Linked DNA regions of Rattus norvegicus. The protein of the gene in region 6 purifies or fractionates together with the protein of the main gene of each other region. This does not show direct contact. Links are inferred from orthologs where the notes say so. Each region holds a gene or a part of one and is shown on either strand. Other genes may lie near its edges. The genes, in order: Myh9, Rbm15, Lmna, Dhx9, Specc1l, Ddx39b and Hnrnpu.

Region 1 (3,500 bases), on a different chromosome or scaffold from region 6:
GGCAGGAGACAGGCCCATACCCATTCCTACTTTCCTGACTTTCTACCAGGAGTTCTTGACAGACTGGTCTGGTCTTCCAGAATGCACATAGACTACTCATTGACAGTGCCAGTGGGAGCTTATTCTAAATCCCTCCCAGACAGTCAGACAGGCTGGCTGGCTGGCACACATATCTACTTGTGTTAGTTACTTTCTCATTGTGGGACCATGTACTTGACAAAAGGCAACTTCAGGGAAGAGAGGGATTGTTTGGACTCCCATTTCGAGGGTAGAGTCTTATCATGAGGGACATGAGGGTGTGGTGGGAAGACAGGGAGGCAGCTGCTCCCGTGGCGTCTGCATGGGCAGGAGAAATGAGTGGCACTCAACTGCCTTCTCCTTTTGCCCAGTTTATCCAGTTCAGGACTCTAGTCTATAGCATGGTGACACCTATCCCTCCTTGGGGAAACTCTGGAGACTTCCCGAGGCATGTCTCCTGACTGATTTTTAAATCCAGTCAGTTGACAGCAGAGAACACCCTGCCACTCGGGCTTTCTGAGCAAGCTGCTGCCCTGGCTGGAGTTACCCAAGTTTGTCATGATGACTAAAACTTGCTTGGAGCTCACTGGTGCTTTGGCCCTGTGCTGAGTCTTCTGACATTCTCTTGGGTAGGGCTCGTGGCCCTGCTGGGAAAGACAGTGTCATTTGCTTTGTGTCTATTTTTCTTTTTAAACTGAAGCATCACCCCCATATAGTTGAGAGACATGGCCTCAAGAGAGGAGACAAGCCAGGGTCTCCAGGTGGTGCTGGGTCCTGAAGCCCTTGAAGGCCCTTGGTACCAGTGAACTTCAGGTGGAGGCTTCCAGGTTGAGCATTTGTGGAGTATGACTCCAGGTGCAGAGGCAGGAGGTAGACGAGGTCTCTGAAGAGCCCTGTGTTTCTTTGACAGTCTGGTTTGTCACCTTGCTCTGTGTTACTCCTTCTCTTAGTGCTCCTGAACCCATGCCCTCTGGTCCTGGGGCAGAAGGCTCCTGCAGGAGGTGCAGCCCCTCCTGAACCCCTGGATGACTGGGCTGAGGCAAGTCCTGGCCTTTTCTCCCGCTGTGCAGAGTGGCACAGAGTGGTCTGCTTTGCTCTCTCTAGATCAAAGCCTTGGAGCTTGACAGCAACCTGTACCGCATCGGCCAGAGCAAAGTGTTCTTCCGGGCCGGAGTCCTAGCTCACCTGGAGGAAGAGCGGGACCTGAAGATCACTGATGTCATCATTGGCTTCCAGGCCTGCTGCAGAGGCTACCTGGCCAGGAAGTAAGTGGCAGGGACCCTTAACCCACACCTCTCACATGTTCCTGCTCTGAGGACAGTATGGTCAGCTGTGGTTGAAGGCCTCTGGGAGTTGAAGGCCTGTCTAGAGGGGTGTCTGGGAGTCAGCCAAATGAGCTTTGACTGTCCCAGGTGTCTGCTTATTTAATCCAGACTTTTCACCATGTGGGGATGGCACCAGGCCTGTCTGTGCCTGTCATACTCCATGGAGGCATCCTGAGCTCACCACGCTCAGATTCCCCTGCCGCAGCAGGCAGACATGCTCCAGGACAGTCCCAGTGTGAGCTTTGAGCCTAAAAATGAGCAAGAGCTTGTGTTGGGCGCCCACGCCTTACACCCACCTTTGTAGCACACCGGCTGCCAGTGCTGTGCACCAGCAGCAGCTCAGGCGGGGAGGCAGCAGGGCTGGATAGTCAAGCCCAAGTGCCCTGGGCACAGATGGATCATGACTAAGGTCATAAGGTCATAAGGTTGTAAGGTCACAGTTGGATCTTGCACCGAGTGGGAGTCTTGTCACTGGTTCTCGTAAGTCCTTTATGCCTGAGAGCACCTCAGTGGAGGGCAGTGGCTGAATGACCTGAGCCCTTGTCGTTCATTGTGTGTTCAGTGTTTCGTGAGTCAGGGTTGTTGGTGTGTGCTTCCCTCATCCCTGAGTTGCTGACTGAGCTCTTCATCTCCAGGGCCTTTGCCAAGAGGCAGCAGCAGCTGACTGCCATGAAGGTCCTACAGAGGAACTGTGCTGCATACCTCAGACTCCGCAACTGGCAGTGGTGGAGGCTCTTCACCAAGGTGGGCTCTCCACAGGCCGCTCAGCCTCCTCTGCTCGTGGTGCTTGCTCACATCACAAGCCTTTCCTGTAGCTCCACAGTGCTCAGTGGTGTGAGCCTAACCTGGTGCTGGGAGTGCCTGCCAGCAGCTCCGCCTGTTTGCTGTGGATGGCAGTGTCCGGGCTGGGCAAAACCAGAGCAGCTCCTGTGGGCGAGGGCTTGCCTTTCCTACACATGGGCCCTGTGGCAGAGACTAGCCTCTTGTGGTACCCCATGGCAGCTAGCTGCTGAGAACTTCTCCTGTATACCTTGTGTCTTTAAAATGCCTTTTGCAAGCTGGGCATGGTGGCATATGCCTTAATTTCAGCCCTCAGGAGGCAGAGGCAGGTGGATATCTGTGTCTACGTAGTGAATTAGGCCAGCTAGGACTACCCAGAGACCCTGTTGCAAAAAAAGTTCCTTTGCAACTTGTTCTGTCAATTTTAGTTTATAATGTATAACGTATGCTAAATGCCAAAAACATAGAAAGGTCATAGAACCTCAATCATGGGCCCTTCACTCTGAGCCAACGCCATGATGTTTCTGTATTCTCATGTGCAGTAAGTCTCAGCTATGGAAACTGCATTTTTACGTAGCCAAGCGCTGACTTGTGTACATAGTCTTGTCTTTTGCACTTTGTATTTAGAATTCCCATCAGCATCAGTTTTTAGGAGCTGTTGCCTAGAGGATGGACGGGTCATTCCTAAGTCTTGGGCCTATAGACAGTGTGTCATGGACGTCTTTATGTACATGTAACATGTTGTACAGTCTGACTTCTAGGAAGGTTGCACCTACTTGTACCCTCTCCCCAGAGAGCAGGTCTGGTTGCTGCTCACCTCTGGAGCTTACATTCCAGAGGCTTCTAGGGGTGAGCAGCTGGCCTTAACTCTGCCCCTGTCTTCTCTCCCAGGTCAAGCCCCTGCTGAACTCAATAAGGCATGAGGATGAGCTTTTAGCCAAGGAGGCGGAACTGACAAAAGTTCGAGAGAAGCATCTGGCTGCAGAGAACAGGCTGACAGAGATGGAGACTATGCAGTCTCAGGTAGGTGTCAGTCTTACCCGTCAATCCCAGCTGCTCTCAGTGCTGCCCCTATTGGACACTAGCAGGCTGGCTGGTTTTGCAGCTTAGAAAACACTTGCAGTCCAGTGGGAGAGCAGTAGTCAGCGGGGAGACTGAGCCATAATCCCACCCTGGGGCCCTGTTGCTGTGACAGTGGACCTAGGATAAGTAACTTAAGGGGGATGAAGAGATTGGGCCTGCGGTCACTGGCCCCTGTTGAGGCGGAATGCCACCACTGAGTGTGGTAGAGCAGAGCTACTCACTTCTTTGTGCCAAGGAAGCAGAGGGAAAGAAGGGTCTCTATTCCCTGCGCCATGGCCCCGCTTCTAAAGTTCT
Region 2 (4,197 bases), on a different chromosome or scaffold from region 6:
AAGAATATTTTTCCACTAAGAATTGAACCTAGAGCTTCACTTAGGTGCCCAAGGTTCCTGAACTGTGTCTCCAGACTTCTTTTGTGTGGGGTTGGTTTTAAGACAGAATCTCACCAACTTATCAAGTTACTCAGGCTAATGAAGAATTTATGATCCTTACCCTCAAGAGTAGCTGGGATATAGGTGCTCCAAAAGCCACACAACAGCAACTTTTAATACAAGTATGTCTATGCTTTATAGTATTTTGGGGTTTATAATTTACCTATCAGGCTTCTTTCAAATCTTTTTGATGTAATCAAGAGATTTTGGACCAAGTATTCACCAATTTCAAGATTATATACTAACAAAACAAATCGGCTGAAATAGGGCTAATCAGGTTGCTGTATCTAGTCTTCAAATAGCTTTTAAATTTAGAATTAAGGGTTTTTTTTGGGGGGGGCATTCTTATCACCTTGTAAAATGTCCTGTTTTAAAACACATTCTCAACTCAGTCTTAAAAGATGGGAATACCAGAATCTTTCTAATGTCTTCAAGGTACATATTTGGGGAGACTGCAAAAAAGCCTATTTCGCGGTTGGGGATTTAGCTCAGTGGTAGAGCGCTTGCCTAGCATGCGCCAGGCCCTGGGTTCGGTCCCCAGCTCCGAAAAAAGAAAAAAAAAAAAAAAAAAAAGCCTATTTCCCCTCACCAGGAGGTAAGCACCAGTGGTATAGACTATCCATCTTTTTTTTTTTTTTTTCTTTTTTTCGGAGCTGGGGACCGAACTCAGGGCCTGGCGCTTGCTAGGCAAGCGCTCTACCACTGAGCTAAATCCCCAACCCCTACCCATCTAATCTTATGATCACCAGTATTACACAAGCTTACGAGACTCCTTACAGATGCATGGGGTCACCGAAGTTGGTGGCGGGGAGACGTTTAGATTTGAATCAGGGTTAAAGGAGTCAAAGGAGGGGGATCTAGGAGGGGACAAGGTGGCCATGTTACTGGATCCTAATATGGATTAATCGGAGTGCTGAGGTCCAAGAAACGAGATAAATGTAGTACCCGCACAGTGAGAAGCGTTACATATTAAAGCTAAGCACAGCTACCTTTCACAAATCTTTTATGAATGCAAATCCTACACATTTTCACAACATAAATCAGGAAGCAAAAAAGGCCTGCAAGTGGTCCTGCAGGTCAGACCAGTCGGTAGGCCCGGAAGCCCGGAGTGTAGGTCACTGCCGGGCCCAAGGCGGCCAGGGCTGCGCTCTGTTTCCTATGTCCGCGGGCGGGCTGTGACTCGGTACCGCCCAGGGCGTCAGCGTGACCCGAGGCTCAGTGAACCCTGAACTCACCGCCCCAGCCAGCCGCACAGACCGGGGCAGGCGCTTTCTCGCGCACGGGGGTGGGGCTTTTTCAGGCTGCTAACTAAGATGGTGTCGGCTGGACTTCCCGGGACAGCTGCCTAAGCGGATCGAGGGCCAGCAGCCGGAAGGACCACCGAGCCCATTGTCCCGCCCAGACAGGACAGTGCGGAGCCCGCAAGTTCCAGACTCGAAGGACCGAAGCACAGGCAAGTACGCCGTAGGACCTAACAAATGTTTAAGAGAACGCCGAAAGCGCGGGGAGGCGGGCCTGACTCACTGTCACCGTCTCGCGACAGCTAAGTGACGTCGCACAGCAAGCGCGTGGTAGAGTCTTTCACCTTCAGACTCCTCAGTTTATGGGCCTACTCCTTTAAGTGAGTGATGGACAGCGCTTTTATCCAATCATTTTCCTCGTCAACATCCAATCAGATTTAAACTTTATTCAGCCGCCGGAGAAGTTGGAAGACTGGGGTTGAAAGAGAGCGAGCGAGTGAGCGAGCGAGCTCTTTGTCTCTCGCGAGATCCGAGAGAGCCAAGTTCTCAGGGAAAAACGCCTGAACTGATGTCCAGACTTCCCAAGTAGTGATTTAAAGGACGTGGCCATAAACCAATGAAAGGGAAGAGAAGGTGGGATCGCTGCTTTCGCCGTGCTAGAAGTACCGTTACAGGGCAGACTTTTTGTCCAATCAACGCTTCTAGGCTTTGGGTCAGGTGACCATGAAGTGCGAGGGGCGGAGCTACAGCCTGGCGCGAGGAACCGTTAAGATAGACAACGAATATAACCAATGAGGTACTGCGATTAGGGCGTTGGGAACCCAATAACAGCGTCGGGGCGGGCGCCTTCCCGGAGCGCGGGGAGATGTAAAGACGGACAAATAGTTTTTCCAATGAGAAAGCTGAAGAGTGAATTAATTGACCAATGAGGTCTGCGGGGCGGGAGCCTTTGCCGCGGCGGAGTCCAAGATGGCGGCGTGCGAGTCCGCTGTGTGAAACGAGCGCGGGGTGGCGGGTTAGTCAGCTCCGCAGAGACGACCTCCGGCGACCCTCAACAATGAAAGGAAAGGAGCGCTCGCCAGTCAAGCCCAAACGCTCCCGTGGCGGTGAGGACTCCAGTTCTCGTGGGGAACGGAGCAAGAAGTTAGGGGGCTCTGGCGGCAGCAATGGGAGCAGCAGCGGGAAGACGGACAGCGGCGGGTCGCGGCGGAGCCTTCATCTGGACAAGTCCAGCAGCCGAGGCGGCAGCCGCGAGTATGATACCGGTGGGGGCAGCTCCAGTAGCCGCTTGCATAGTTACAGCTCCCCAAGCACCAAAAATTCCTCAGGCGGGGGCGAGTCGCGCAGCAGCTCCCGGGGTGGAGGCGGGGAGTCACGTTCCTCTGGGGCCGCCTCCTCAGCGCCTGGCGGCGGGGACGGCGTGGAGTACAAGACCCTGAAGATAAGCGAATTGGGGTCCCAGCTGAGTGACGAAGCGGTGGAGGACGGACTGTTTCACGAGTTCAAACGCTTCGGTGATGTAAGTGTCAAAATCAGTCATCTCTCAGGTTCTGGCAGCGGGGATGAGCGGGTAGCCTTTGTGAACTTCCGGAGGCCAGAGGACGCGAGGGCGGCCAAGCATGCCAGAGGCCGCCTGGTGCTCTATGACCGGCCTCTGAAGATAGAAGCCGTGTATGTGAGCCGGCGCCGCAGCCGCTCCCCGTTAGACAAAGATACTTACGCCCCGTCGTCCAGCGTGGTCGGAAGCTCTGTAGGTAGCCACAGGCACGCCCCTGGAGGAGGTGGAGGTCAGAGATCGCTTTCTCCTGGCGGTGCTGCTTTGGGATACAGAGACTACCGGTTGCAGCAGTTGGCTCTTGGCCGCCTGCCTCCTCCACCCCCGCCACCATTGCCCCGAGAGCTGGAAAGAGAACGAGACTATCCGTTCTATGACAGAGTGCGGCCAGCATATAGTCTTGAGCCGAGGGTGGGAGCTGGAGCAGGTGCTGCTCCATTCCGAGAAGTGGATGAGATATCACCTGAGGATGATCAGCGTGCCAACCGGACACTTTTCTTGGGCAACTTAGATATCACTGTGACAGAAAATGATCTGAGAAGGGCTTTTGATCGTTTTGGAGTCATCACAGAAGTGGACATTAAGAGGCCTTCTCGTGGCCAGACCAGTACTTACGGCTTTCTCAAATTTGAGAACCTAGACATGTCTCACAGGGCCAAAATAGCAATGTCTGGCAAAATTATAATTCGGAATCCAATCAAGATTGGTTATGGGAAAGCCACACCCACTACCCGACTTTGGGTGGGTGGTCTGGGACCTTGGGTGCCTCTTGCTGCCCTGGCACGAGAATTTGATCGATTTGGCACCATTCGAACCATAGACTACCGAAAAGGTGACAGTTGGGCATATATACAGTATGAAAGCTTGGATGCAGCTCATGCTGCCTGGACCCATATGCGTGGATTCCCACTTGGTGGCCCAGATCGTCGCCTTAGGGTAGACTTTGCAGACACAGAACATCGTTACCAGCAGCAGTATCTTCAGCCTCTGCCCTTAACCCATTATGAACTAGTGACAGATACTTTTGGACATCGAGCACCTGACCCTTTGAGGAGTGCTCGGGACCGGACACCACCCTTACTATACAGAGATCGTGATAGGGACCTTTATCCCGATTCTGATTGGGTGCCACCCCCGCCACCGGTTCGGGAACGCAGTGCTCGGGCTGCAACTAGTGCCGTCACTGCTTATGAGCCACTGGATAGCTTGGATCGAAGGAGGGATGGCTGGTCACTGGACAGGGACAGAGGTGACCGGGATTTGCCTAGCAGCAGGGACCAGCCAAGGAAGCGAAGGCTGCCT
Region 3 (4,032 bases), on a different chromosome or scaffold from region 6:
GTCTGAGTCATCCATGCAGCTGTCTAGCTTGGACTTGAGCTTACCCATAAGCCTGGGGTGAGCCTTCCCTCACTTCCAACTGTCCCCTTCTCCCAGCTTAGATATCTAAACCTCTGGAGGAGAGGGAGGAAGAGGGAAGGAGAGAGTTGTTTTGTTCCCCCTCTCCCCTGCCTCCTCCTTGGAACTTACAACCCAGTTTGAAGAGCCTTGTGGGTGCAGTTGAGAGATCCAAGTTGAACTGTGCTAAAGATTGTCACCGGTCTCATAGTTATGCCTAACTCCAAGCCTGACCCTGAACTCTGAGCTGGAATTAAACATTAAATTGGTCACTTTTCCCCACCCCCAGCCCTGGTGGGAGGGCCCGGACAATGCCTTTCATCCTCCCCAAACTTCACTCAGGCCATTTCTCCACCTCAGTCTGAGCTCACCAGCCATACAAAGGGCAGAGCCATGAGTCTTCTGCAATGGACATAGAAGGACAGACATCCATCTAAGCTCACTTCGCCTCCACTTCACCCCACCAGCAAGGACCTAGGTGTGTATACTCACCCCAACCCCCTTCCTGGAAGCCCAGCCTCCTCGGGTAGGCTCAGTTGAGAATAGAGGCAGGTGGCTAAATATAAAAAGTCCACACATCGCCCGGCCCCTACCCCATGTGTGTACACACCACCTGGTGTCCCAGGCCTGGACAGCTGCACTGGGGGCAGAAGACACAGAGTGGCTCAGCTAGATGAACAAAAGCTCTATCTTCCACTCCCCCTGTCCCCAGATCTACTAGACAAGTTCTGCACCAGGATCTGCAAGAGCTTTGGTGGTTGACTTAAACTAGTTTAACTATAGCTTAACTAACTAGTTAACTCACTGGGACTCCTCTAACTTGCCTCATGTATTTCTTGATAAGGTATTCATATCCCTAATAGAGAAAAGACAGGTAATTCCTATTAGCTGAGAGAAAGGCTGGACCCATCTGTGCACATGACCTCCGCTCATACTTGAGAAAATGAGCTTGCCACCACCTATGGCTGGGATCTGGTAAGGAACAGAATGACCAACCACTGATAGTCAGTGGGCTCTGTCAGAAGATAATGCAAAAGGAAAAAGAGGAAGAGAAGTCTAAGCTACCAGAGCCTTAGGTATCTGCACGCATGGCCAACGCTCTTTGGCTTGGTCTACAGCATAGAAGAAAAGATCCCAGACACAGAGCCTGTGGGAGTCCCGGGAGCCAGGGCCCACACTCCCAGGCTTTGGAAAGTCCTTTTAGAAAGAAGGTGGAGTCGAGTAGGGTGGGGCAGGGTGGGGCAGGGATGGGTGAGGTGGGAGTGGCCTGAAGCTCTCTAACGGCTGGATTTCAAAAATGTCATTGTATTCCAGCAGTTTAATAAGATCAAGACATCAACAGCTTGGAGGATGGGCCAGAGTAAAGTCTGGCTTGGCTAGGAAACCGGAAGTGGCTTATTGGCTGAGGGAGGAAAGGACAGAGCTTCCAAACCTTTAAGTCACCAAACAGAGAGGGCCAGGGTTGGGGAGCCCCAGACCCAGGCATAACAGATTTTCCAGGGCCATTAGCTTCTGTGCCCAGTTTCCCTCCCCACACTCTCTTGCATTCCTAGTCGAGGCAGGCCAAGGGCTGTGGGATCTGCGGGGGAGCTTCCTCCTGTGCTTCTGGAGGGCAGAGTCTAGGAAAGGTCCCAGACATTCCCAGCTCCTAGAACCAGGAGAAGGCCTTGCGTACACAGCCATGGGAGAAAGGGGCTACGCAGCCTTGGTGACCCCTCTACAATACCACCGGACAAATGTCTGTGTGAGAGATATGTTTTAGTGGACATCATGTGTTCAGAGTCACGTTGGGCAAAATTGGCAGAGTGCCAAATCCACCAAGAAAGTTCTAATAAAACCCTTTCACCCATTCTGCTGTGTTCCGGGCCTCATTCGGGAGTTCCAAGACCTGGTAAAGCCTGTTCTGCCTTCCTCCAGCCCATCCCCCAGGCTCCAAATGGCTATAAGATCCCACCTTGACAGAGTGAGGCCCTGTAACCAAGGCTACTTGGTCTCCATGCCCCACCATTCTTTATATCCCCCCACCCTCTCACAGAGACCCTCTCCCTGCTGTGTCCTGTCATGACTATTACCCTTGGCACTGCCAGTCACCCGCGGGAGGCAGTTCCGGGGAGGGAGGGGACTAGATGGCCAGTTATGGAAGACTGCTGCTTCCCTGGTGCTGGCCGGCCAGGCCTCACTCACCGCGCCTTCAGCTCCTTGAACTCCTCACGCACTTTGCTCAGCTCCAACTGGAGGCGGGCGCGCTCCTTGGCCACAGAGTCGAGGGTCTTGCGGGCATCCCCCAGCTCGGCCTCGTAGGCCGCCTTGATGCCGGACACCTCTCGGCTGACCACCTCTTCAGACTCAGTGATGCGAAGGCGCAGCCCCGCGTTCTCCGTCTCCAGGGAGCGCACGCGATCGATGTACACGGCCAGACGGTCATTGAGCTCCTGCAGGTCCTCCTTCTCCTGCAGCCGTGTGATCCGAGTGGGCGACAGCGGGGTAGAGCTGGCCTGCGCCCCACTGCGGGTGGCGCGCCGCTGAGACGGGGTCTCCATGGCCGGCAGGGTGGCAGTGCTGCCCGCTGGGCAGGGGTCCCGAGAAGGGCGCGGGACTCGGACAGAAGGACAGAGGCTGCTCGGGGGACAGCGAGCCGGCGAAGCTCGCTCCTGGCAGGCGTGGAGATCTGGGCTGGGCGCTGGCGCACCTCGGGATCTGGGTTGGCTGGTGTTGAGGCTGAGGCAGCGTTCCCGCGAACACTGAGTCACTGACAGCCGGGCAGAGACTCTAATAGGCCCTCCTCCACAGGGGGTGGATCCACTGCTCTTAAAGGAGCCATCCTAGACCCAAAGGGGCGGAGGCAGGTATGGTGAGGAGGAGCCAGCATGCTAACCCTCAGTCTGCAGAACACCCCTTTCTGGCCTGGGGCTTCACAATGTTGGTTCCTGCCTACTCAACTCCAAGCTTTGGCCTTCTGGGGTAAAGGGCAGAGTAAAGGAATGAGAGTGGGTGGGCGAAGGGTAGTGGCGAGGGACCAGGGGAAGTAGGTGCAAAGTGAGGGAGAGAGCTAGGCATCCCCAGGGAGCCAAGGAAGCTGGGGGAGGGCTGAGGCTGCTGCCCATCAGTGACTCACCCACTTCCACCACTGGCTCCCCTTTCCTCAGTAGTAACAGTGAGTCACCTCTCCCCCACGCACAGGAGCGGCCTATCCAGGGCTGCATTTCAGTATGCCAGGAGTGGGATGGCAAAGGAACGTCTGGGTTTTTAGGTAACTAACATATTACTTTATGCCCTCAAGTTTGGGGCAAAGATCAAGGGCCTTTTTTTTTTTTTTTTTAAACCTATGCACTTCCCTTATATTTCTGGCTTTAAAACCAAACATTGGGTTTTAGATCTAAGGAATAAGCCTCAGTCCCCAAGAGAAAGCCAAGAATAGAAGCCAGAAGCTGGCCCCTCCCAATCCCCCCTCCCCTTTCATTTGGACCCAGACAGTTGGAAATGGCTGTTATAATCCCTCCCTTTCAGCCCCTTTCTTCAGTTTACTCCACCCAGCCAAGTCCAAGACTGTACTTATTTTTTTCCAGGACTGTACTTATTTTAATGGATAATTTAAAACAGATACCAGAGCTGTGCGTGCATTCAACACATGGCTAGGACACCAGGTTCCAGATTTTTGTGACTGCAAGAAGGGCCTGAAAAGAGGAATGGGGTCGGAGGGTTATTAATGCAGGGTCTCCATCTGGGTTCCATTCCTAACAGTGGGAGCACGAAGAGCAAAGCCACCCCTCCTCAGCCACTGCATGCCTTTCTAGCCAGTTATGAGTGGGCCCTGACTAGACTATCTCCCAATACAGTAACCCTGGTCCCAGGTTCTTCAGCCTCCATCAAAGACTCTTGGTCAGCTGTCTAGTCCTCTCCTGTAACCCTAGCCTAAGCTGCACTGGCCCCATCATCCCCTCCTGCAATGGAGCCTTCCCTGCTCATTCCATGGAG
Region 4 (3,117 bases), on a different chromosome or scaffold from region 6:
AAACACCTTTGGGATACAAGTTAGTGGTAAAGAATTGGTCAAGTAGTTCTCTCCCCAAATACTGAGTCATACATTATAGAGCTCACCTACCTTTGTTCATTGCTTAAATAAAAAATATATTGCCGACCCTCTCACCCACCCAACCCACAGAAATGAATTTGTAATAGAAAATGCTTCCCTTAGTCTTTTGTTTTCAAAACAAATATTTCAGCTAAGGTCAAATGTTTCAGAGTTAGAAAAATGGTTATAACACACCTTAATCCTACCACTTGGGAGAAGGCAAGTGAGTTTCTGAGGGTGAGGCAAACCTGCTAGTTCCTTACCGAGACCCTAACATTAAAGATGGGAGGGATATGGGCTCAACTCTTTTTTTGGTTCTTTTTTTCGGAGCTGGGGACAGAACCCAGGGCCTTGCGCTTCCTAGGTAAGCGCTCTACCACTGAGCTAAATCCCCAGCCCCTGGGCTCAACTCTTATTCTGTAAAAAATACCATTACACAATCAATTTTCAGTATACTTTATTTTCTATTAAATGAAAACCAAGAAAATGTCAAGTTAAGTTAAAAGGCTTTACCCTTTCAAGAAAAAAATACAAACTGTATGGTGTGATACTTGTATAACAGGTCATATTTTACATTACACAATATAAACAAAATCACTAATCTACAATTATTTGAAACTACACATGAACTACAGATTAAGTGGGAAATGGGTTTACTTTTTTGGTGCAAATAAACATCTTGGAAAAACATACAGCATGCATTTTTTAACTGTATGCATAAGCTCTGACAGTCCATTCTTAATAGCCGCCACCACCACCACCACCACCTCCTCTTCCTTGTCCAAAATAACCACCTCCATAACCCCTTCGCTGGAATCCTCCAGATCCTCTATAGCCCCCACCAGATCCCCGGTAGTCTCCACTAGATCCTCTGTAGTCTCCACCGAAGTTGTTTCTGTAGCCTCCTTGGGAACCTCCTCTATAACCTCCCCCACCTCCACCATAATTTCCTCGGTAAGAGTTGGGGCTCATATTATAACCTTCCCCACCTCCGTAACCCCCTCCACCACCTCCATATCCTCCACTGCCTCCTCCATACCCACCACTACCGCCACCACCTCCATAGCCACCACCTCCAACACCATAGCCTCCCCCACCACTTCCAAAACCTCCACTACCCCCAAAGCCACCACCGCCGCCGCCTCCTCGGCCACCACCAAATCCACCCCCACCACCTCCCCCACTGAAGCCTCCTCCCCCACCACCAAATCCACCTCCGCCACTGCCAAAGCCACCCCCACCACTACCAAAGCCTCCTCCCCCACCACTGTTAAAGCCTCCTCCAAAGCCTCCCCCACCACCACTTCCAAAGCCGCCTCCAAAGCCTCCACTACCATATCCACCACCGTATCCACCACCACCATATCCTCCTCCTCCATATCCCCTTCTATATCCACTTCCATTATCGTATCGGGCCATCTTGGGAGGCCTCGGACCATCGCCATACCTAGGAAAAACAACAAATCACTTTAGCTATACTCTGCACACACTAAACTAAGAATCACAGTAAATAAACTTTAACCAAATAATGAGACCTGTATGGTATAAACAGCACTGTTAATATTTTTCCACAGGCCTTGAAGTTTCTCTTAATTCATAGTATTTTTAATCAAGTATTTCCCTGTACAAATTTAAAAAATGTCTTGGTGGAAACTCCTCAGAAAATATATACACTCACAACTCCCCTACCTTCATGTCTTTGATATTCATGTTAAAGAAGACAAAAATAATGTGAATCAACAGTTCAGTTATACTAAAATTAAAAGCAAAAAACATGATAAAGACTCAAAGGACTTTTTGTTTATTTGTATATTATTATAATCCTGAAGCCATAGGGCTGGAGAGATGGCTCAGTGGTTAACAGCACGAACTGATGATCTTCCAGAGGTCCTGAGTTCAATTTCCAGCAACGACATAGTAGCTCACAACCATCTGTAATGGGATCTGATGCCCTCTTCTAGTGTGTCTGGGAGCTACAATACTCATATAAATAAATCTTTAAATAAAATTACAGAAGAAAAAAATTCTGAAGCCATGCTTAGGAGAATGATTTCTTAATGAGTGTATTCATAACTTCATGAATGATTAAAAGTTAAATAACTCAAAACTGGTAAACATAAGGAAGGAACATACGCATACACCGTTAACATTCCTTTCTTATGAATGCAGATAGGTGAACACTAAAGAAAAATTTCTTATTTCTTAAAGACAGCCTAGGGGGCTACAGAGATGGCTGGGGACTGGAGAGATGGCTCAGCGGTTAAGAGCACTGACTGCTCTTCCAGAGGTCCTGAGTTCAAATCCCAGCAACCACATGGTGGCTCACAACCATCTGTAATGAGATCTGGTGCCCTCTTCTGACCTGCAAGTCACATAAGCAGGCAGAATGCTGTACATAAAATAAATAAATAAGACAGTCTAAAATAAATTGATCTTTCTATTTGAGGAAGGAATTAATACTTTATCTGAGACTGAGACTACAACAGTGTGGAGGAAAAGGTTTCATCAAGATTACATCATTTTCAACTTTTAATATGGTCTACCTGTCAGGACTTTATTTTTATATGGCAATGGGTACATCAATTAACAGGAAAAAAGGAAATCTTTTGTTCTGAGTCAAACTCCCACATTTAGTGTTAAATAATTTTAACCCGAAGGACTCTACCAACTAGCTTTAATAATTATAGGTCTGTAAAAGCTACAGACACATAAATTAGGTAACTCACCTTACACTCCCAATCATAAGGTTGATACCAGCAGCTGAGGGCCTAGAAATCTGACGGATGGTGTTTAGCATATGCTCATTGACAGGGTCCAACTGGCTGATAATGTTTGGTTGTTTGGATACTTCAACAACCAGAGCTTCCATGGCTGCCCGGAGGGCTGTGATGCATGCTGCAGCTTCATGTGATATTTGCAGTCTGATCCTAAAATGAAGGAAAAGCAAGGCATAAAACTGGAAACATACACAGAGAGGTGAGTGTAGTCAAATGTCCTCCCAGTGCCAAAAACTTAACTTTATTACAATTAGACATGCCCCAAACCCAGGTGAATGTA
Region 5 (3,500 bases), about 9.8 Mb from region 6:
CACACATCAGTGAACGCAGTCAGCTACCTGTTAGCAGTACTGTGACAACTAAGAGCAAGGGGCCGGGAAGGGTCTCATAATGGAGAGGATCACTCTGACAACAGCACAGCGCACGACGCTCTCTCGTCGATTTTAATAGAGTGTGTGTGTGTGTGTGGAGGGGGAGAGGCCCAGAGGCCAGAGAGAGCAACATGTTCCCTGGAACGGGATTACAGGTGGTCCTGAGCCACCTAACGAAAGAGTGCTAGAACTAAACTCAGATCTTTTGGAAGAGCAGGAAATACTCTTAACCACTTCCACCCGTCCGAGCCCAGGATGCTGAGTCTTTTGGTAGGCATCTCCTCGAAACATAAACACTAGTACACTTTTGGGATCCCACACAGCGATCCTTCAAGAACAGAATTTTAGGGCTTAAGGGCAGAGCACTGGCTTGGCAGATGTAAGGCCCTAGGTTCATCCCTAGCATGACGGACGGACGGACGGACGGACGGATGGATGGACGGATGGACAGATGGATAGATAGGTGGATGGATGGACGGACGGATGGATGGATAGATAGGTGGATGGATGGACAGACGGACAGATGGATGGATGGAATAGATGGATGGATGAATAGATGGATGGATGGATGGATGAATAGATGGATGGATGGATGGATGGATGGATGGATGGATGGATGGATGGATGGATGGATGGATGGGTGGATGGATGGATGGATGGATGGGTGGGTGGGTAGATGGATGGATGGATGGATGGATAGGTGGGTGGATGGGTAGGTGGGTGGATGGATGGATGGATGGATAGGTGGGTGGATGGATGAGTGGATAGATGGATGGATGGATAGGTGGGTGGATGGGTGGGTGGATGGATGTATGAGTGGACGGATGGATGGACGGACGCAACCAACTTCAGTACTCAGGGCAACTATCAAATGAGGTATTTCTGACAAGGTATTTACTTATGAATACAGATAAAAAAGTAACTCCAGCTTTATACCAGGGGGGTTTCATTAGGTCCCGTTCCAAGTTCAGCTTAAGGATGCCAATGACTAACACTTAGCAACACATTAGGACTAAGTCATAACAAAATAAAAGCCTTTCAAAGATATACTGCTTTTTTTTTCTATGCCTAATTAAACATTATTCAAAGTGAAAAAAAATCAAATTCTTAATAATAACATCAAACACATAAACTTGTTACCCCACTCTGAGTGTCACTGTGGAACTTGAAACATATCTCAGGTGTCACCTCCTGTGGCCATTTTTATGGATTTCCAATGGTCTCTGTGTTAGATGTAGAGGGTACTACTTTGGAGGACTTTGGAAAAAAAAATAGAAATTCCTCAAGTGACTGATGGAAATAAACTCACACTGTCCCAGTCACTGCTTTTCCCAAATTGGTAACTCGAGTTTACTGATCCCTCTGCAAACAGCAGCTCACGTACTCAGCACAGCACTATACAGTGGCTCACAGGGCCTTCCTGTTACAGCTCAGAGAACTGAGGCCCAGGGCACAGGGAAATTAAACTGTTAACTGAGAGCACACACCAAGAGGCAGGGCCAGACTGAAGCTGATTCAGTCTGCTTCCAGACCTGCAGTCTACAGATAAATAAGAGGGCTGCACTGTGAGCACCAGGACAAAGACCAGCACCAGTGCCACATCACTGTTCCTTACGGAAACACAACTGGCTTCTCAGAACTTACTTGCGTGACTTTATTTCCTCCAATTCTTTGGTGAGTTTCTCATTTTTCTCTTGGGCCTCATGTAGCCGCCGCTTTAGATCACCGATCTCCTCTTGGGCTTCAGACTTGATGTCATTTGCAATGACCACCGCAGTCTGGAGATCAGCCTGAAACTGCCGCCATTCTGCGGACTCTTCCTGCATTAGAAAGTAAACTCTCATTTCCAAAAGAAAGCGGTGAGGATTTACTTAAAAGCAGTAAAGTTTGTTTATGATTAGTTTGGCCTAACAAGACATACTCTTGAATGATGACTTTTTTTTAATTCCAAGAATTGCTGTTATCTATTTTTAAAACAAAGCAACTCTTATCAGTAAACTCGTTCCTAATGAAGGAAAGATTTGCCATCTGATCCCCTACCGAGGCATTAAGTATTCAGAGTGCTCAATAAATATTAATGAGAACAATGTTAGACCTCTCTTCCTCATGCAAGTTTCAAAGCAAGTGTTACGAAAATAAATATCATCAAAAATTTAGAGCTGTACCTCTGGAAGGTATATAAATGGTATGTGAACCATACAGTAAAAACTATAAATACCCTGACATCAAAAACTAGCAGGAAAAAAAAATCTAAAGTAAAGGAAAAGGAAGAGGAAGGCAGAAGAAAAACTGAACTTAGCGCAGGCAGACACAGTCACACGGAGACGTAAGGAACTCAGAGCTCCGCTGCTTCCCAGACAAGAAGGATGCGGGTGTGACTGGGCGGAGAAGTCTCCCCAGGGGCTTCGCTTCCCCCAGAGCCACAGCTGGGCCTTGCCTGAGCCATCCTCTCGTCCTCCAAGCAATTTTCTGGTACCATGAAAGTAGCTACAACAACTGGCTCAGGACTCAGGGTCTGTGATTAGCTGTCCCTGCACATCTTAGCAGCATGGGGGCTGGCAGCCAAGCCAACCCCGAGAACACAGAAAACTCACATACAAACAGCCTGGTCTGTGATTTTAAAATCAAGCCTTAATAAACTATTTTCAAACACATCTATCTATAAATAACTACCAGTATATTCTCCTACCTTAAATGCAGTGCCAGATCCAATTTAAAGTACGGGCACTTGCTTTCAGCCCAAATCCCAGTGTGGGCAACATCCCACCACATCTACAGGTTAAGGTACAGTGCACGTCAGAGAGTCACGTTTTCTAGTGAGGCAGCACATGAAGATTTACCCTACCCGAAGTCTCCTGTGAAGGGTCTTGTTTTCTCTTTCCAAGTCATGCTTTTGGTCTTGGAGTTTTTTAACTGTATCTGAAAAAACCACAAAGATTAAATATGGCTTCTTAAACTTAAAGTCCTTATGATCTTAAATGTTCAAAAGAAATGACATAAAAAGAGGTGTTAAAAATACGATCATCTAAATAGTTTTCCTGTGCCAAGGCTTGTTTACTTTCATCACAAAACTTAAAAGCATGAAAGAATATTCAATCCAAGGCTATAGTTTCTGCATCACTTCCTAAGCAAGCTGGAAGCAATTGTTAGAAACATACAGATTATTGGCACAAGGCCAATCAAAACAGCATTGACTGCTATTAAAATGTCAGCTTCTAATCACAGAAGTTATCTCTCCAAGCCATGCAAAGCATATTCCCTTGTCACACTGGAATAAATTCCAGAAACATGAAATCAGTCGAATTATTTCTAAAATTGTAGTATCCAGAGAGCTGCCAATTAATTTATGGAATAGTAGCACTAAATACAATAGGAAATCACATTCTCTGCTTGTAAGGAAGCTCACACAGGGAAATGCCTCGGGCGTGCACCACGTGTCA
Region 6 (2,951 bases):
GTCTGAGTAAGACCTGGGCTACCTGGGCTTCACCTATGACCTTCTGAACTTCAGAGCAAGTGAGAAAGGGGAGATAAGCCAGACCTCTACCAGGGCTTCCCAAGCTTCCCAAGGACCCCGGGCCTGCCCTGGCTGACACTCTCTGATCCCACCAAGGGACTGCAGACTCTTTACACAGCCTTGCTGGTGTGTGCGTGTGTGCCTGTGTTCACACACACCATTGTTCAGGTCCTCATACTAGGAACCCGGTGGGGGGAGATGAGGCCTGAGGATGTGGGGCTTGCTCTTTACCTCCCGATCCCCAGCAGTCCCCCAACTTCACCACCCACAGCCACTTTAGAAAGTGAGTGAAAACAGAAGAGAAGGCAGCTGGGGAGCCACAGCCTCTCACGTTTGGGCCTTACCTTGCTATGACCCTGCCCCACAACAGGGCTCTCAGAGTCAGAGTGACCCTGGCTCAAGTTCCACCCAAACAGAGCACTTACAGACACCACAGACAGTTGTTTCATTCTTAGTTTTGTTAAAAAACAAAAACAAACAAACAAACAAACAACTCTGATAAATCAGGACTAGGTTTAGGAGTGGTGGTGACGCAGAGAGGCATGGAGAGGGTGGGCTGAGGTGTCAGGGGTGGGGCAGTAGTGTTTCCTCCCTGACCCCTTCGTCCTCTTCTACAACAGACTGCCACGGTCCAGAATAGGTGATTCCTCTACCGTGTCTGTTCAACTGAAGAAAGAAAGTCAGTTACAACAAGGCACACAATGGGAACACACACACACACACACACACACACACACACACACACACACACCCACCCACCAAGCCGGCACTCACTGTAGGAGGAAATGTCGATCTCATCGGGCAGCTCACTGATGTTGACCTCGAAACGGTCCTGCACGTCATTCAGGATCTTGGCATCGTTCTCGTCTGACACAAATGTGATGGCCAAGCCCTTGGTGCCAAACCGGCCCGCTCTGGCCACCTGGAAGGAGAGGTGGAAAACTGCAAGCCTCATAGGGGAGACAGAGGGGAGAGGAAGGGGCACAGCGTGCGCACACAGGAAGTGGGGTAGGGTGGGCACTCACCCTGTGCAGGTAGGTGTCGGAGTCCTCTGGCATGTCATAGTTGAAAGCGATGTTCACGCGCTCAATGTCCATGCCACGGCCAAACAGGTTGGTAGCCACAAGTATCCTCCGCTGAAAATCCTTGAACTGCTGATACCGAGAGAGCCTTTGTGAGAGTAAATGAGAGGTTTGAGACGTCGCTTCCACACCGCTTCCTCCCCACACCAGTATACAGATGGAGGTGCCCGCCTGCCCGCCTCCAACCCACCTCTCCTCCTGGGGCATCCCGCGGTGGATAGCAATGGCTGGGAAGTTCTGCTCCACTAGAAGCTGGGCCAAGGCGATGCAGCGCTGCACGGACTTCACAAAGATCACAACCTAAGGAGCACAGGGGTGACGTATGTGCCAGCTTCCCACAATCCCCATGTGGTTTTGTAAGTTCAGGTGTGTGGGGTTTGCCTGCACACATGCTTGTGCTGTGTGCCCGGTGCCTGTGGAGACGGCAGAGGACACCTGACCCTCTCCCGCCAACTGTAATTACATGACTGGGAGCTGACGTGGGTATTGAGAATTGAACTTGGGAATCCCTGGAAGAACAAAAGTGTTCGTAACTTCTGAGCCACTTCCTCAGCCCAGAAACCTCACTTTTGAAGTTTTTTAAATGTATGCATGTGTGGTTTTGTGCATGTGTGTCAGGTGTATGCAGTGCACTCTCAAGACAGTGTGTTGAATTACCTGGGCCCAGTTACATGGATAGGTGCTGTGAACTCAATGTGCATCCTCTGGAACAGCAGAAAGTTTGAGACAGGGTTTCTCTATTAGCCCTAATTGTCCTGAAACACATTATGTAGACCAGGCTGGCCCCAAACCTGCACTTACCTATCTCTGTCTAATTCTTAGGATTAAAGATGTATGCTAACACATTGGCAGAATTTTGATTTGTTTTTCAAGGCAGCACTTGTAGTCTGTGTAGTCCTGGCTGTCCTCCAACTCGCTCCGTAGACTTAAAGAGCTGCCTGCCTCTGCCCCCTGAATGCCGGGTTTAAAGGAAGGCATGTGTTTCTAGAAGAGTTCCCCAAATCCCTCACTCCAACTCAAATCTCTCTACACAAATGGTTTTCTCTGCTCCTCAACCTGACTACATGTACATGTAGGCCTTAATTTCTAACATCCTGGCCTCTGAGCTGCACAGACATGAAACCTCAAAACACACATGGGTGAGTCCACCTCTAGAACATTCTAAGAACTAGTCTAACAAACCAAATGATTCTCTTCACACACACGGCCAGCCCAGCACAGGGCTGCCCTGCCAGGCTCTTAGGTGAGTGCCAGGTACCTGGGAATCTCTTGTACACTTTCTGAAGCCATCAGTACTCTACCTCAGCTCTCACCCAACTTCATCTTCCCATTCGGACTTGCTCCACCGCTCCACCTCTTCACCTCCACGGCCTGTCAATCACAGGCTACTTCTACACAGGCTTCTGCCACAGCTGGAGACGGGCAGTGCTCATGTCCACAGACCCTCGATACTGACCTGGTTGAACTCGAGGACATCGAGAAGGTCAAAGAGCTTCCGGTTCTTCTCGTTGTCCTTCAGTTTCACGTAGTATTGCTGCAACCCGTGCAGCGTCAACTTGGTCTCGTCATCCACGAAGATCTCCATAGGCTGAGGGGGAGGAGGGGTGGGGGCAGGAGGAGGGCAGAGTGGGGGGGTTAAACCTGGGGGGGTGGAGGACGCTGATCTCCAATACACCCCATAGAAAGATGGGGAGGAGAGAGAAGACTGAAAACCCCTCCCCACCACAAAGAACACTCTGTGCTGAGGTCTCTTTCCAGCTAGATCTGGTAGCATCCACATCAGCTGAATTTTAAGCCCAATCAACTTAA
Region 7 (3,145 bases), on a different chromosome or scaffold from region 6:
CCTTTGCCCCTCATAAATGTTAAAAGCAGTCTGGGGAGGGGAGGGGAGGGGAAGAATTCAACTTTATATTATAAAATCATCAGTATACATTTAAGTTTTTAAAACCTAAATGTTCGAAAAGTACAGAGTAAAGAATAAGCTGTCCAGAAAGCACACACTTAAAATTTCTCCTCTTGGGAGTTGTAGTATAAAGGGATTTAGACCTTGATGGCGAGAATCCCAAACGAGAGTAAAATGAATTCTTTTTATTGCAAACAAACGTCTAAATTAATTTCTCCACCCACTTTCTTTAGAAAGAAAAAGAAATCAGCAGGCTAAGGAGATACCCATTCAAGAACTGACATGATTAAAAATTAAGATATAAATGGGTGACTCACAATTTCATTAGCTTACAAAGATGGTGGAGTTAACTACTACAAGCACACTAGTAATACAGTATTTTGTGGGAGAAGGGCATACAGACATAGCTAACTTCATATAGATCCCATTAGACAACTGGATTTACAACAAGTTTTTTAATAAGAAAATGGGCAAAGCCAGCTTTCTTTTCAGAATCAAAATGCAGAACAAATGGAAAATTTTGTGGTATTTAACCTTCACAAGTTTGAGCCTCCACATATAATGCAACCAAGTTTACATTTTTAAACAGCCCTTCTACATACACTCCATCTTCTCAGTCTTGGTTCCAAATTTTATCTTCAATCCCAATTATGCCAATTCCATTGTTAAGCAGAAAAAAAATAGCCTTCCCTTTTTTTTTTGTCAGAGATTACCCCTCCACTATTGCCCGGCCATCTAGAGAGGATGGAGTGTATTATGAGCAGTACAGAATCTTAATGCCATTCATGAGGACCCTCAGTCCTTCCATGAATCTGGTTGCTGACATTGCTATTTCATTGTGACAATGACTCCCGACTGTTATTCTCTGTGAGAAATGGGGGAGTAAATGCTTAATAAAAGACACCAGGTACAAAGCAACATTTTACTTTTGTTGTGATAAAAAAAAAAAGTCACATTTTACAGATAAAATGTAGAACCCTGAAATACTGACACATTCTCTTATCGTGCACAATGCTGAGGTTCTCTTACGATTCACTTTAAAACTGCAATTAAAAATGTACAAAAAAGAAAAGAAAAAAAAATCAACCCACAAAGCTTCTAAAAAAGGAACCCGCAGGCACTTCCTCTTGTGGAATGTTTAAAAAGTTAGCCTACTAAAGAAAACAGTCGACTTCTTGTGAAGGTTTTGGAGAAATATGTATCAGTTCGTTTTATTTGGGTATTCAATAATATCCTTGGTGATAATGCTGACTCCATGGCTTCTGACCCCAGAATTGCTGTAAGAGAAAATGTTGTTTTTAAAGAAAAAAACATCAATAAGCCACTCAAATTGTTTTTAGGAAATGACAATGATCTAATTCAGAGTAATTGCTGGAAACAAATTTATGACACTTAATTTCTACATCAGAGACTTAATTTTAATTTACCAATTACCCATACTATTTACCAATACACATTACAAAAGGAAACACAAGACTTGGGGTTAGTTTATGTAATTAAAACTATTAAAAATGACCATGTAGTAGTAAACGACCATATGTATTAAATTACTTTATCTAAAAACTGTTAAAATCCAGCCTATTCATGGTTATAGTAACACAGTAACAATTTATAGAAACCTTGTCCTATTAATATGTATCTTCAATCCCTAGGTTAAGAACTTCCAACTGAGTTTGTAAACATAACACTATATATAATGTGTATAATCATTTAAGAAACTACTTACACCCTGCTGCCACTGGTTGTAGCCCTGAGATTGATTTTTGTAGCCACGATTATTTCCTCGTCCTCTGAAGTTCTATGGAAAATTAAAAACAAAGCATCTGTAAGAACTCTGAAGAAATGGTTGGCTGTGTTAGAGAAGGCATGTAGAAAAACCCTTTTACCCCAAGCTCACTGATGTTACTAATTAGTGACCTGAAAAGCAAAGTCCAATAAACTGCTTCATAGCTATGTCAACACCTCCAGTTAAGACTCCCAATATCCATTCATCTACATTTCAGGGCAAACTATAGTCAATACCTGGTTATAGTTCCCTCTGTTGGGCATTCCACCTCTGTTGTAATTTCCTCTGTTTGAGTAACCACCTCGGCCAGGAAAGACAGGGCCACGCGGGTATGGATAGCCAATTCCACCACTTCCGCCGCCACCACCTCTCTGGGGCATGTTGCCTCTCCTATTATATCCACCACGATTCCCAGGAGCTAAATGCAAGAAGGGTTCAGTTTAGTCCTGTCACATACTAATGTCATAAGTCATATCTTACCATTAATAAAAAAAAAGCAATGCCCAGTTTTAAGTATACCTAATATACTTCTTCACTGTGTATTAAACATAGCAGCATCATTATCTAAGACACCTATGCCTATTTAACTTAAAAAAAAAAACTCAGCTCATTTTCACATTTCAAATACAACAGGCAAAATAAACAAACTTGCCTCCCCCTCTGAAATTGCCACCACGCATATTGAATCCTCCACGTCCTCTATGGCCACCACCTCTGTTGAACTGGTTCTTGCCACTCTTATTTTTATTGCTTTTCTTTGAGCCAGTGTTTTGCTTTTTTTCTGGTGGCAGTGCCTTTTTGCTTTCTTCTTTATATTGCTCCAAAAGCTTCTGGGCTTCCTCCTTCTGAAGTTCAACATAGGTTATTTCATCAAAACACTCTGCAACCTCTGGAAGGGTGAAGTTTCCTACAGTGAATAAAGTCAAATTAAACATGTAAATTTATAAACATGTAAATTTTACAATCTTTAATTATCTCTGAATATGTTGAATTTTTTCACTATCACAGTATCTGGTCATGGCTTTGTCACATTCTTTGCAGAATAAAAAAACCATACACAGAGCTTAATTTACCAGATTAGTATAGTATAATCCCTAAAGTGGCTAAGTCATTTTCTAGGTATAAATCACCAAACCAGACTTAAAAGACAGTAAAAATGAAATGAATCTCGTGCCTTTCATCTTGAGGACAGCATGCTCTGGTAGGTCTTTCCCCTCTACTTCCGCTTTCTTCTGTGTCCTCTGCTTATAGTCTTCGTCTTTTGGGCAAACGACCACGGCTTTTCGTTGGAAGCCTGCA

The links.
Region 1: the proteins of Ddx39b (region 6) and Myh9 purify together in Homo sapiens (affinity purification with mass spectrometry, with the first as the bait; 4 studies listed by BioGRID). This does not show direct contact. The link is inferred for Rattus norvegicus from reciprocal best matches to the Homo sapiens genes DDX39B and MYH9.
Region 2: the proteins of Ddx39b (region 6) and Rbm15 purify together in Homo sapiens (affinity purification with mass spectrometry; 3 studies listed by BioGRID and IntAct, with this or other methods). This does not show direct contact. The link is inferred for Rattus norvegicus from reciprocal best matches to the Homo sapiens genes DDX39B and RBM15.
Region 3: the proteins of Ddx39b (region 6) and Lmna purify together in Homo sapiens (affinity purification with mass spectrometry, with the first as the bait; 4 studies listed by BioGRID). This does not show direct contact. The link is inferred for Rattus norvegicus from reciprocal best matches to the Homo sapiens genes DDX39B and LMNA.
Region 4: the proteins of Ddx39b (region 6) and Dhx9 purify together in Homo sapiens (affinity purification with mass spectrometry, with the first as the bait; 3 studies listed by BioGRID). This does not show direct contact. The link is inferred for Rattus norvegicus from reciprocal best matches to the Homo sapiens genes DDX39B and DHX9.
Region 5: the proteins of Ddx39b (region 6) and Specc1l purify together in Homo sapiens (affinity purification with mass spectrometry, with the first as the bait; 3 studies listed by BioGRID). This does not show direct contact. The link is inferred for Rattus norvegicus from reciprocal best matches to the Homo sapiens genes DDX39B and SPECC1L.
Region 7: the proteins of Ddx39b (region 6) and Hnrnpu purify together in Homo sapiens (affinity purification with mass spectrometry, with the first as the bait; 3 studies listed by BioGRID). This does not show direct contact. The link is inferred for Rattus norvegicus from reciprocal best matches to the Homo sapiens genes DDX39B and HNRNPU.

What each region holds. Positions count from the first base shown.
Region 1 is NC_086025.1:111,238,964-111,242,463, reverse strand, and holds part of Myh9 (myosin-9), read left to right. Parts: intron 1-1,122; coding exon 1,123-1,283; intron 1,284-1,978; coding exon 1,979-2,087; intron 2,088-3,014; coding exon 3,015-3,146; intron 3,147-3,500. UniProt on the Homo sapiens protein: Cellular myosin that appears to play a role in cytokinesis, cell shape, and specialized functions such as secretion and capping. Required for cortical actin clearance prior to oocyte exocytosis. Promotes cell motility in conjunction with S100A4.
Region 2 is NC_086020.1:197,639,898-197,644,094, reverse strand, and holds the start of Rbm15 (RNA-binding protein 15), read left to right. Parts: upstream 1-1,397; 5' UTR 1,398-2,265; coding exon 2,266-4,197. UniProt on the Homo sapiens protein: RNA-binding protein that acts as a key regulator of N6-methyladenosine (m6A) methylation of RNAs, thereby regulating different processes, such as hematopoietic cell homeostasis, alternative splicing of mRNAs and X chromosome inactivation mediated by Xist RNA.
Region 3 is NC_086020.1:176,255,436-176,259,467, forward strand, and holds the start of Lmna (prelamin-A/C), read right to left. Parts: upstream 2,801-4,032; 5' UTR 2,598-2,800; coding exon 2,242-2,597; intron 1-2,241.
Region 4 is NC_086031.1:68,152,313-68,155,429, forward strand, and holds the end of Dhx9 (ATP-dependent RNA helicase A), read right to left. Parts: intron 2,988-3,117; coding exon 2,787-2,987; intron 1,508-2,786; coding exon 799-1,507; 3' UTR 501-798; downstream 1-500. UniProt on the Homo sapiens protein: Multifunctional ATP-dependent nucleic acid helicase that unwinds DNA and RNA in a 3' to 5' direction and that plays important roles in many processes, such as DNA replication, transcriptional activation, post-transcriptional RNA regulation, mRNA translation and RNA-mediated gene silencing.
Region 5 is NC_086038.1:13,394,571-13,398,070, forward strand, and holds part of Specc1l (cytospin-A), read right to left. Parts: intron 2,980-3,500; coding exon 2,906-2,979; intron 1,881-2,905; coding exon 1,705-1,880; intron 1-1,704. UniProt on the Homo sapiens protein: Involved in cytokinesis and spindle organization. May play a role in actin cytoskeleton organization and microtubule stabilization and hence required for proper cell adhesion and migration.
Region 6 is NC_086038.1:3,576,701-3,579,651, forward strand, and holds the end of Ddx39b (spliceosome RNA helicase Ddx39b), read right to left. Parts: intron 2,731-2,951; coding exon 2,599-2,730; intron 1,443-2,598; coding exon 1,333-1,442; intron 1,231-1,332; coding exon 1,086-1,230; intron 983-1,085; coding exon 835-982; intron 727-834; coding exon 710-726; 3' UTR 501-709; downstream 1-500. UniProt on the Homo sapiens protein: Involved in nuclear export of spliced and unspliced mRNA. Component of the TREX complex which is thought to couple mRNA transcription, processing and nuclear export, and specifically associates with spliced mRNA and not with unspliced pre-mRNA.
Region 7 is NC_086031.1:92,609,291-92,612,435, forward strand, and holds the end of Hnrnpu (heterogeneous nuclear ribonucleoprotein U), read right to left. Parts: coding exon 3,021-3,145; intron 2,754-3,020; coding exon 2,499-2,753; intron 2,265-2,498; coding exon 2,083-2,264; intron 1,859-2,082; coding exon 1,787-1,858; intron 1,338-1,786; coding exon 1,284-1,337; 3' UTR 501-1,283; downstream 1-500. UniProt on the Homo sapiens protein: DNA- and RNA-binding protein involved in several cellular processes such as nuclear chromatin organization, telomere-length regulation, transcription, mRNA alternative splicing and stability, Xist-mediated transcriptional silencing and mitotic cell progression.